Macaca mulatta: one gene and its partners. The protein of the gene in region 2 interacts with the protein of the main gene of each other region in a pairwise test. Links are inferred from orthologs where the notes say so. Each region holds a gene or a part of one and is shown on either strand. Other genes may lie near its edges.

Evidence for each region. The genes of interacting proteins can lie anywhere in the genome.
Region 1: the proteins of VENTX (region 2) and DAB1 interact in binary tests that used the Homo sapiens proteins (3 or more experiments, as listed by UniProt). The two-hybrid records come from large-scale screens. The link is inferred for Macaca mulatta from reciprocal best matches to the Homo sapiens genes VENTX and DAB1.
Region 3: the proteins of VENTX (region 2) and TBX15 interact in binary tests that used the Homo sapiens proteins (3 or more experiments, as listed by UniProt). The two-hybrid records come from large-scale screens. The link is inferred for Macaca mulatta from reciprocal best matches to the Homo sapiens genes VENTX and TBX15.

What each region holds. Positions count from the first base shown.
Region 1 is NC_133406.1:183,611,425-183,615,080, reverse strand, and holds part of DAB1 (disabled homolog 1), read right to left. Parts: intron 1,007-3,656; coding exon 458-1,006; intron 1-457. UniProt on the Homo sapiens protein: Signaling adapter of the reelin-mediated signaling pathway, which regulates the migration and differentiation of postmitotic neurons during brain development.
Region 2 is NC_133414.1:145,338,305-145,341,146, reverse strand, and holds the end of VENTX (homeobox protein VENTX), read right to left. Parts: intron 2,596-2,842; coding exon 2,435-2,595; intron 2,354-2,434; coding exon 1,973-2,353; 3' UTR 551-1,972; downstream 1-550. UniProt on the Homo sapiens protein: May be involved in ventralization.
Region 3 is NC_133406.1:121,385,762-121,389,417, reverse strand, and holds part of TBX15 (T-box transcription factor TBX15), read right to left. Parts: intron 515-3,656; coding exon 413-514; intron 1-412. UniProt on the Homo sapiens protein: Probable transcriptional regulator involved in the development of the skeleton of the limb, vertebral column and head. Acts by controlling the number of mesenchymal precursor cells and chondrocytes.

The DNA.
Region 1 (3,656 bases), on a different chromosome or scaffold from region 2:
GAAACCACACCAAAATCTATGTGTCATAAGCTGGCTATACATAAATAAATGAACGAATGCATGAGTAAACTAACAAAATCTTAAGAAGCAGAGTAATACGGTGGAAAAATACTAGGCTTACGTTCAGTTCAATACCACTTTGTCTATTGTCTTCAACCTTGAGCCTCACTTTCATTATCCATCAAACAGGTCTAACAAAATTTGTCATTAAGCATTATTATAAGTCTAAAAATAAACATGGAACATATGAAGAAGGTTTGTATGTTATCAGTGGTACCTATATTTGTAGCTCTTAGTAGTAATAGTAGTAGTAATAGTAGCAATAGTAGTAATAGTAATATAAACAAAGAAGCCTGATTAATGCAAGCGAGATGAGTTATCTGACCCCTGAAACCCTACCTCCAGACATAAGTTATGGCTCTCATTGGGTTTTATGTCTTAAGTGAGGGGCACTCACGTGAGTTGGTCGATGGTGTGGTAGAAGTCACAGGGGTCAAATTCAACTGGGAGATGTCAAAGTCATCACAGTCGTCTGTATCCTGTGCCACCCCGACTTTGTTGAAGTAACTGGAGAAGGCCTCTGAGGTACAGGTGAGGGAGGGCTGGTCGGGTTTGCGGGAGGGCACGGGTGGAGGCTGGGCCATCTGGAAATCCTTAAATGTTTCTTTCCCCATTTTCTGCCTGGGCTTGTCGGTCTGTGGACTTGACCTGGTGGAGTCACTCGTGCCTGGGACGGTGGCAAGGGGGGTGAGGGGACCTTGGAACATGGCAGCTGGCAAAGGCATAACAGTTTGTGTGGGCATGAAGGCGGCTGGCGGAAACTGCCCGGCCACAGTTGGCCAGGGCTGCTGAGTGGCAGGGAAGAGACCCGGCTGGCCCCATGCGATGGGCTGAGCCCCCGGCATCACCTGAGCGACTGGTGGCTGGGCACCCATGACCATCTGCTGTTGGACGAGGGGCTGCTGGCCCCAGAAGGACGGGAGGACAGCGCCCATTGCAACGTAACCTGGGAGAATGAAAAAGAAGAGTCAGGTGTCCTGAGAAAGAAGGATGCATGGACTCAGGTAATTGACAGAAATGTATCAAGCACCAACTAAGTGCCAGACTGTGTGCCAGGGACTGGGGATGCCAAGATGAACAAGACAAAAGTCCTTGCTGTCTTGGAGCCTATATCCTAGAGAAGTGGTCAGGGAAAGCCTCTCTGAGGAGATGATCTGTAAGCAAAAACTAGAATGCTAATAATCACATTTCTGTAGTTGTTAGAAGTTTCTAAAGTCTCATAGCCTCAGAAGCTGTGTGTCTCAGGGACAGGGCAGAAGGACGGAAGGCAGGCCGTCCTGGGTTTTCTCCTTGCCTCCTCTTCCTGCTGCACTTAGGACCCTCTCAATTGCGTAAGCTCTTTAAGAGTCTGACTCTTTGTTGTAAAACCAGGTTATAATACCGTCCTTCGCAGGCCTGAGGCAGTGTGCAAAGTGAGTAATAATCTGAATGTTGGAGTTTTAGAGACCTAGGTTAAAATTCAAACAGCCACCTCTTAACTGTGTAATTTGGGGAGTAGTTCTTAAATCTCTCTAAGGCTCTATGACCTTATTTGTAAAATGGGTATAAACACCTTCTACCTTGCTAGGTTGATTTGAAGATTAATTGAGAGTACATATTTAAAATGTGGAGTATTGTACCGGACACAGGATCAACATTCAGTAAATGTTAGTTACTAGTATGGTTTGGATTAGATAGAGGCTAGAGAGTTACTTATTACATTGCTTGATATACAAAAGACATGTAATAAATGGCAGCTAGAGGTATTATGCATGATTTCTGTATTATTATTATTCCAATTTTGGAGAATTAAAAAAATAGGGCCAGATGTGGTGGCTTATGCTTGTAATCCTAACACTTTGGGAGGTCCAGGTGGGAGGATTGCTTGAGGCTCAGAGTTTGAGATCAGACTTAGTAACACAGCAAGGCCTCATCTCTACCAAAAATTTTTAAAAAGTAGTGAGGAATGGTGGCACATGCTCAGAGTCCCATTGTCTCAGCACTCAGGAGGCTGAGGCGGGAGGATCACTTGAGCCCAAAAGTTTGAAGCAGCACTGAGCTGTGATTATACCACTGCACTCCAGCTTGGGTAACAGAGTGAGACACTTGTCTCAAAAAAAAAAAAAAAAAAAAAAGAAGGTTATTGTCCACTCAGGGGCACCTCATACATCAGTATAAGTTACACACTGCAAAACCCCATAGCCTGTACTCATGTGTATTACCATGATAATTGTTCACTGTATTATTCTTTTTAGGTAAGACATATACATTTTAACAGGAGCACAAGTGACACGTGTTACAATAATAATAGTAACATAGCAGTAACAGCAACAAGCTCCACTTATTAAATGCCTACAACATGCCAGATACACTAGTATGTGTTTTGCGTCTTCACGAAATTCCGGCAGGGTAGGTATTGTTATCTCTATTTTAGGGATGAAGAAATTGGTGCTCAAGGAAAAGCAACTTGCTCAGGGTCATACAGGTTGCATGAGGTAGGAGCAGGATCAAACTGAGGTTGTCTGTTCCCCCAAAGCCAGGGTTCCTTCCTTTGTGCCACACACTGCCTCACCCAGATGGCCAAGACCAATTTCCGATCTTTGCAGTTAATAGACCTTGCCTACTATTTGATTGTATTTGGATACTGCAGGCCTGCAGGAAATTCACATGTGCTTCCAGGGGTCCCCACCCTTCTCAGGGGGCACAATGGCCACCTCTATGTGCAGTTGAGCCTGAGAGACAAGTTCCCAGGCTGGGCAGAGCAGAGAATAGAGAAGCCAGCTTTGCCTGGGCCTCTCAAAACAAGCCTTTCCATGGCTGTCAGTAGGAAGATACCGATGCAGTGTAATGAGACCAGGAAAAAAAGAGGAATGGAGGCAGAGTATCCTAGCAACTTCCAAAGGGACAATGGGTGGGCGTTATGGCATTGATGACATTATGAGTCATCTCACTGACTCTTGTGAGCCCAGAGAGATGGAACGCAGGGTGTCTCACTCCATACTCCAGTCACAGATATACCTGCCTTCAACTGACTGATACAGGCTAGAGCCAACATTCAAGGCCTGGTGATTTTCCTTGCAAGGTGCCCGTTTCCTCTCATGCCATGCTTCCCTAACAGCAGGCTCCAGAAAGGCACCAATAGGACACCTGTGCTTCTTGCTGATTAATCTCGCAGTGTTAAATACTTCTGCGGAATGAGACAAGGATGTCAACAAAAAAAATGGAGAATATCTTATAAGACTACTTTGTCCAACTGCACTGAAGCAAGAGGGATGAAGAGGCCCTGGAGCTGAAACTTCAAACGTGAAGCTTGCTTAGCTTGCCTCACCCATGGCATGATAATGTAGTGACTTAAATCTACCAACAGATGAAGAATCCTGCAACTCAGTCTTGTTTTCCGATTTACTTTGATATGTCCCAGTGGTTCTCAGTGGGAGTACTACTGCCCCCTAGGGGTGGCTAGAAAATTGGTGGGACGTGTTTTGGTTGTCACAAGTGGAGGGGGTTACACTACTGGCATTTAGGAGACCCAAGCATTGACAGTAGACATCTCACTATGTGTGAGACCAATGCGTATGACAAAGCATTATTCCACATCCTGTTTATGATCATTTGCA
Region 2 (2,842 bases):
CCCGGATGGGGAACAGGGAGGGAAGTTTGGAAATCACTGGTGGCAGAGCCTTCCCTGGGCCTGAGGGCCTTGTGGACCCCCCGGAACTCAGGGTCTAGGCCCCTGCTGGGCACTTGGAACCCGCTCCACTCCTCAGCCTCCGGGACTTTGTCCTTTTCCAGAGCTCCTCATCTGCAGGATGGAGCCAGGGCCCTAAGAAGGTCCAGGTGTGGCTCTGAACAGGCCCAGCTCTGCCCCAATGGGCTGTCCCCCTTGTAGGGCCCAGTGTGCTGACAGGACGTCAAGACAACACCGGGCCAGGGCCCTTACTCACCGGGGGAGTTCAGGGCCAAGACTGTGGTTTGCGGCCCGGGGCCACACAGGGGACCGGAGAGCAATCCCCAAGGGCGGCGAGGGGCTCTTGTACTTTTATCACGGATGTGCCCCCATCCACATCCACAAATCAGTGCTGCCCAGGCCCCACCAGGAGCCCCTGTCCAGCCCCTGCCCTCCGAGGGCCTCGCCCAGGCTTCCCTCACATGGTCACTCACCAGGACGGACGCACAGCAGCTGTTCTCCTCTTACCTGGTGTATTATAAAATCACATCCAGCTGTAAACACTTCCAACAAGGCAGAAGCGAGCAAGGGGAAAGTGGAACTCGCTGTGGACGCGGCCGCAGGACCACGCTTCTGCTCCCGTTGGGGTGCCCGGGTGGGTTTCACAGGTCGCAGTCCTGCAGGCTGAACCTGTCGCCTGGGCGCCCCGCACTGCCTGCCCCCGGGCACTCTGAGGCGACGTGGACGGACGCTCACTTGTCTAAGTTTCCACACATGCAGTCAGGAGTCTGCACCAAGAATGGTCCATCGATGGGGGAGTTCTCCCTGGGAGGGGCTTCCCAGCCTCCCATTCTGGGCACTCCCAGACCTTCTGCAGGAAGTGCTGTCCTTGAGTCATTCTGTTTTGTCCCGAGGCTGCTGTGAGGAGGGGGCAGGTGAGCTGGTGCTGGAGGGCGGGGACCTGCGGGACAGCTTCAGTCCAGGCACAGCCGCAGGTCCCAGCTGCCCCACCTTCCCCGGCTGGAGAAGAGCCCCCAGCAGGCCGTGGGCAGTCCCGGCTCACGCACCGCCCAGAGCACACTGCAGGACCCCAGCATCCCCGCCTTCATTTTCACCTGTTCCCTCCTGCTTTCCAGCTTTGGAGTTCTTGTTAAGAGGGACTTGAACCACAAGGCTGTAAACACGACACCTGCATTCCCTTCCAATCCTTCCTGGTTTTCTTTTTTACACACAAAGCTTACCACCTTTACTGTTTCCAACTGGAAAACCAGTTTTTCCAACACTTTTTAAAAAACAAACGATCCTTTTATCGTACGCTGAAAGCCCTACCCATGACAAGCCCACTTCTGCATCTGACTCTGTTCACTGACCCTTCATTTACTTCCTAAACCGACCCTTTTGGTAACTTTCAGTGAAGAGGTGGCTTTAATAAATATATTCTCAGGGCCGGGAGTGGTGGCTCACGCCTGTAATCCCAGCACTTTGGGAGGCCAAGGCGGGCGGATCACGAGGTCAGGAGTTCAAGACAAGCCTGGATAACATGGTGAAATCCCGTTTCTACTAAAAATAGAAAAAATTAGCTGGGCGTGGTGGCGTGCGTCTGTAATCCCAGCTACTCAGGAGGCTGAGGCTGGAGAATCGCTTGAACCCGGAAGGTGGAGGTTGCAGTGAGCCAAGATCACGCCACTGCACTCCAGCCTGGGCGACAGAGCGAGACTCTGTCTTTAAAAAAAAATACATATATATACACATATACATATATATAGAGATAGATAGATACATACATATATATCTATTCTCCAGAAATCTCCAGAATCTTTGTGTGGTCAGGGTGAGAGGCGCCACCACGATGTAAACACAACAGCTGAGTCCTCCAGGTAGGAGCCAGGTGCAATCCGCAAGACCGTGAGCGTGGGAGAGAGTCAGAGGTGCCTCCTCAAAAGGCATCCCCTGTCTCCGGCAGAGCGCACAGGCCCCAGGGCCCCGTGGACAGGGCTGGTCCCGGTGCAGGCAGGCCACTTCCTGTGGTTGGGGGGTGGTGCGCCAGAGGTTGCCTGCAGCAGGAAGCCCCCGTAGAGGCCAGGGCCTCCTGTTCCACTTGGCAGAGACCCCAGAAGGAGCCCGGGGGCAGCATCAGAGCCTGGGGCCCAGGCAGGGGTGCCCAAGGGCACAGCAGCTGCAGGCCATTGGCAAGGCCAGAAGACGGTGAGTGGAAAGCTGGGGGCACGTGGAGAGACCCCAGGAAGGGGCTGTTCGGCGGGACTTCTTGCATTTGCCGTTTGTGTTTCATCCGGCGATTCTGAAACCAGGTTTTTATCTGCAGGAAAACCAAAATCAGAGCAGGGGTGAGACTAGGCCACCGGCCCACCCTTGCCCACCTCAGCCCGGCCCGCCTCACCTGGACCTCTGAGAGCTGCATCTCCCTGGCCAGCCTCTTCCGCTCAAGAGGGCTCAGGTACTGGTGGTGCTGGAAGACGCCCTCCAAGGTGCGGACCTGCTCCGTGGTGAAGGCTGTGCGGACACGGGGGCCCCGCAAGGTATTTGGCTCCTTACTCAACCCTGGCATAGAGGGTGAGAGCATTTGGCTGAGCCTGCCACCCCATGGGGCAAGCCCCGCCCACAGGTAACAGGTGAAGACAGCATGCTGGGGGCTGGGCAGGGCAGATCTTCTCACCTGACAGTGACCAGCAGCCCTGCCGCAGCCTCCAGGTCATGTGCGTGCGGAAAGGGGCTGAGAGAGGTGACTCAGGGGAGGGAGAATGCTACCAGCAGCTTGGGCCTGCCCTCCGCTCGGCTGGCTCAGCTC
Region 3 (3,656 bases), on a different chromosome or scaffold from region 2:
ATCATCTATGGGGTAATCCATCAAATATACATTTTAATATGCTTTATTGTTCCACCTCTCCTTCCTCTTTCCAAAATAAATCACCCCAATTTATTTAGCATTTCACAAACCAAATTATTCAATATGTTAATCACTTCCAATATTAATTAAATTAAATTTAGACTTAAGATCCACTTGATTTTTGCTACCTTGGGAGACACTATACAGTCCCATTCTATCCAGAGACATAGCAGGGAATCCCAGGTCAAAGTTAACACTTTTTCCACCTGGTGCTCTGCCACAGGCCATTGACATAGTCTCCATTCCTTGTTCCCTGTACAGTATGCATTGTTAAAATATTTCCTCTAAGGAGTTTGAAGAATTGTCTTGGAATGCTGGTGTACCCACATTTCCACATCCCAGTTATTGTTACCTGTATCTCTTATTGTCCACAGGCACAATATCCATTGCTATGTAGTACTGCTGATGTGGATCTAGGCCAGTGATTTTCACTCTCATGGCAGGAAACATCCTCCTATATAGATGAATAAAACAGAAAGCTCAGAAATCAGAATGGGAGAAGTAGCAGGGGTAAAAGCTAAAACAATGTTTTTTGTTTTTGTTGTTGTTGTTGTTGTTGCTGTTTTTTGATACGGAGTCTCGCTCTGTCACCCAGGCTGGAGTGCAGTGGCACAATCTTGGCTCACTGCAACCTCCACCTCCCGGGTTCAAGGGATTCTTCTGCCTTAGCTTCCCGAGTAGCTGGGACTACAGGCATGAGCCACCATGCTCAGCTAATTTGTGTGTGTGTATGTGTATGTTTAGTAGAGACGGGGTTTCACCATATTGGTCAGGCTGGTCTCAAACTCCTGACCTCGTGATCTGCCCGCCTCAGCCTCCCAAAGTGCTGAGATTACAGGTGTGAGCCAATGTGCCTGGCCTAAACAATGTATTCTTATTAGATACTCTAAGCACATCAAATTCTAATGTCCTCTAATTCTCAAAGTTGGCCAATTTTTTTTCACTTTGGAAATTATCACTACAAAATATACTGGAGACTTATACTACTGAACTAGTATCTCTTCTTAACTTAAATTGACCTATTTGATGATTCATACTCTCCAAGGGTTCAACCCTGCTTTGTATTTTTAGTTAATCTTTGTTGTGATATACATGTATACATAGGCATTTGTGTGGACGTGTGTAGCCAGACATACATTTCCTATTAGCTATAATCTTTTCTTTTTTATATATACTTTAAGTTCTAGGGTACATGTGCACAACGTGCAGGTTTGTTACATATGTATACTTGTGCCATGTTGGTGTGCTACACCCATCAACTCGTCAGCACCCATCAACTCATCATTTGCATCAGGTATAGCTATAATCTTTTTAAAGGTTAGTACAGCAACTTACACTCTTCTTATAATCCAAAGAGCTTTTCAGTTTATTGCAAGTTACCATAAAATATTTTCAACTGAGTTTATTTGAAAATGACCACTCTAAAAATAGTCTCTCAAGTAAAAAAGAAAAAAGGAAGGTGTGACCAGTCTCCAAACAAAGAGCCACCAAGATTTTTTAATGTGTAAAACTGTAGAAAATTTTCTGCAAGTTCTCAGGCTGTCAACGTGTGTGTCAGAAGAAGGACCCTGTGGAATTGGAAGCAAATACCAAATGAATTCTCGTGGCCTCTGGGCAATACCTTGTTTCTACCACAATGGCTTGTTAAACTTGCCAAAGCAAGTGAGGTCAGGATATGGCACTTTACAACTTCTCTCATAATTGAAGAGAGGAGGAGACAGAGCAGCCCAAAAGAGGTATTGAGTTTCAATAAGTCTAGAATAAAGTTCACCATTCTTCTTTAACCATAAGAAAGAAGAAAAACATCAAGCTCAAGCTCTTTTGTATCAAGCCGGACATAAAAAGTCCTCAGTTCAAAAATTTGGATTGACCTGAATGTGCTCGAGGCTACTTGTATGCAAAATGTTGCATTAAGCTTAACCATCTGGGGCTAGTTAGTCAAGCTGGGCAGAGCACAGTGCTAATGAGGTCAAGGTCACAGGCTTGATCCACATATGGCCTAATTGGCTTTGCTCCATTTCATGGCCATAGACCATACCCTGACCTCAGACAGCCATCTTGCAAATAGGTACTGGTTGGTCACAGGAGAGGCTCTCTGTGCTAGTTACACACTCACTACTCATCCAGGAAAAGCAACCCAAAAGGCTAATATCCCCTGGCAGTAGGTCAGTGACATCATAATCATATCTGAGGGAAAGCACAAGAAGGATCACAGTCCTGTAATAGAGATGGTGGCTAATTGTTATATAGTTACAAAATTAATATGTAACTATTTCATCTTTCTCACCTTATTACTCTTCAGAAGCTTCTATGGGTATATCATTTTAAAAAGATCATTTCTCCCCCTACCCTCACAATTTTTATTTAAAAGCCTCATACTTTTGTCTTATGGTGGGCTAATGAAATTTGATGATGGGATACTCATACTGACTAAATCTAACATTCACTATAGGTTAGGCACTTTAATTTGCATTAATTAATTCCAAAAATTTGGCAACCTTAATCTATACATTTGAATACAGATAAGTAATTCCCTTCTTAATAACACAGATTTATAGCTTCCCTCTATATGTAAATGTTTGGAGGGCATCTTGCCAGAGATAGGGCAAAAGTCCTCTCACTTATTACCTGAGATAAGAAAATATGGTTTCCCCCCGTCACCTAGAGAGGCTGTATTACATGAAAAAGAGAGACTTCTTTTCTTCATAACTTTACAAAGAAAGATGTTAGATTTTTAAATTCAGTATCTGTTTTGTCTGGAACAGTTATATGACCTTCAATGGAGAAGCTACCCATCTCTTTCCAGTATCCAGCTTCTAAAATGAATGAACTATGTGACTTTGGATAAGTCATTTAACCCCATCACCTATAAAACAAAGGAAATCGACTAGATAATCTCCATGGTGCCCCCCCTCCCGGCTTTAAAATTCTGTGACTACCTTTGAATTCTCTTCTTAAAATCTTTGCGAGTCTTTTTTTTCTTTTTGTCACATTTTAGCATAGAATATCAAGTGAAGTCACAACATTCTAAAGGAAAGTTAATCTTTCATGTTTTATAAAAAGAGATGTGTTTAGTTTTAATTTTATGGCTAAATTTAGGACAGTTCTTTTGTCTTCTAAACCCATTAATCCTTGCAAGCACCTCTGTCCATGGTGCTGATTATGCAGGTTGGGTTGGTACACTCAAAGACTAAGGGCTCTATAGACTTCAGTAGCTCTGAATCAATAGGATCACAGTTCGGGGTGTGGGAGGAGGTAGATGTTGACGAAGATCATCTAAGTGAGAAAAAGGAGAGAAAGCCATATATAACTAACATAACTAAGAAGATGGAGTTTGGAATTAAAATGGAAAATAATACTGACAATACTGTACAGGAAGAAAAATGAGTGAGAAGCAAGAAATCAACCAGGAGAATGAGAAGGAATGAAGAAAATTCACAGAAGAGAAAGCCTTATTTGTATGATTCTGAGTTGTTTCAGAATTACCTGAAAAGAATTAGATGTAGTAGGGCCGGGCGCGGTGGCTCAAGCCTGTAATCCCAGCACTTTGGGAGGCCGAGGCGGGTGGATCACGAGGTCAGGAGATCGAGACCATC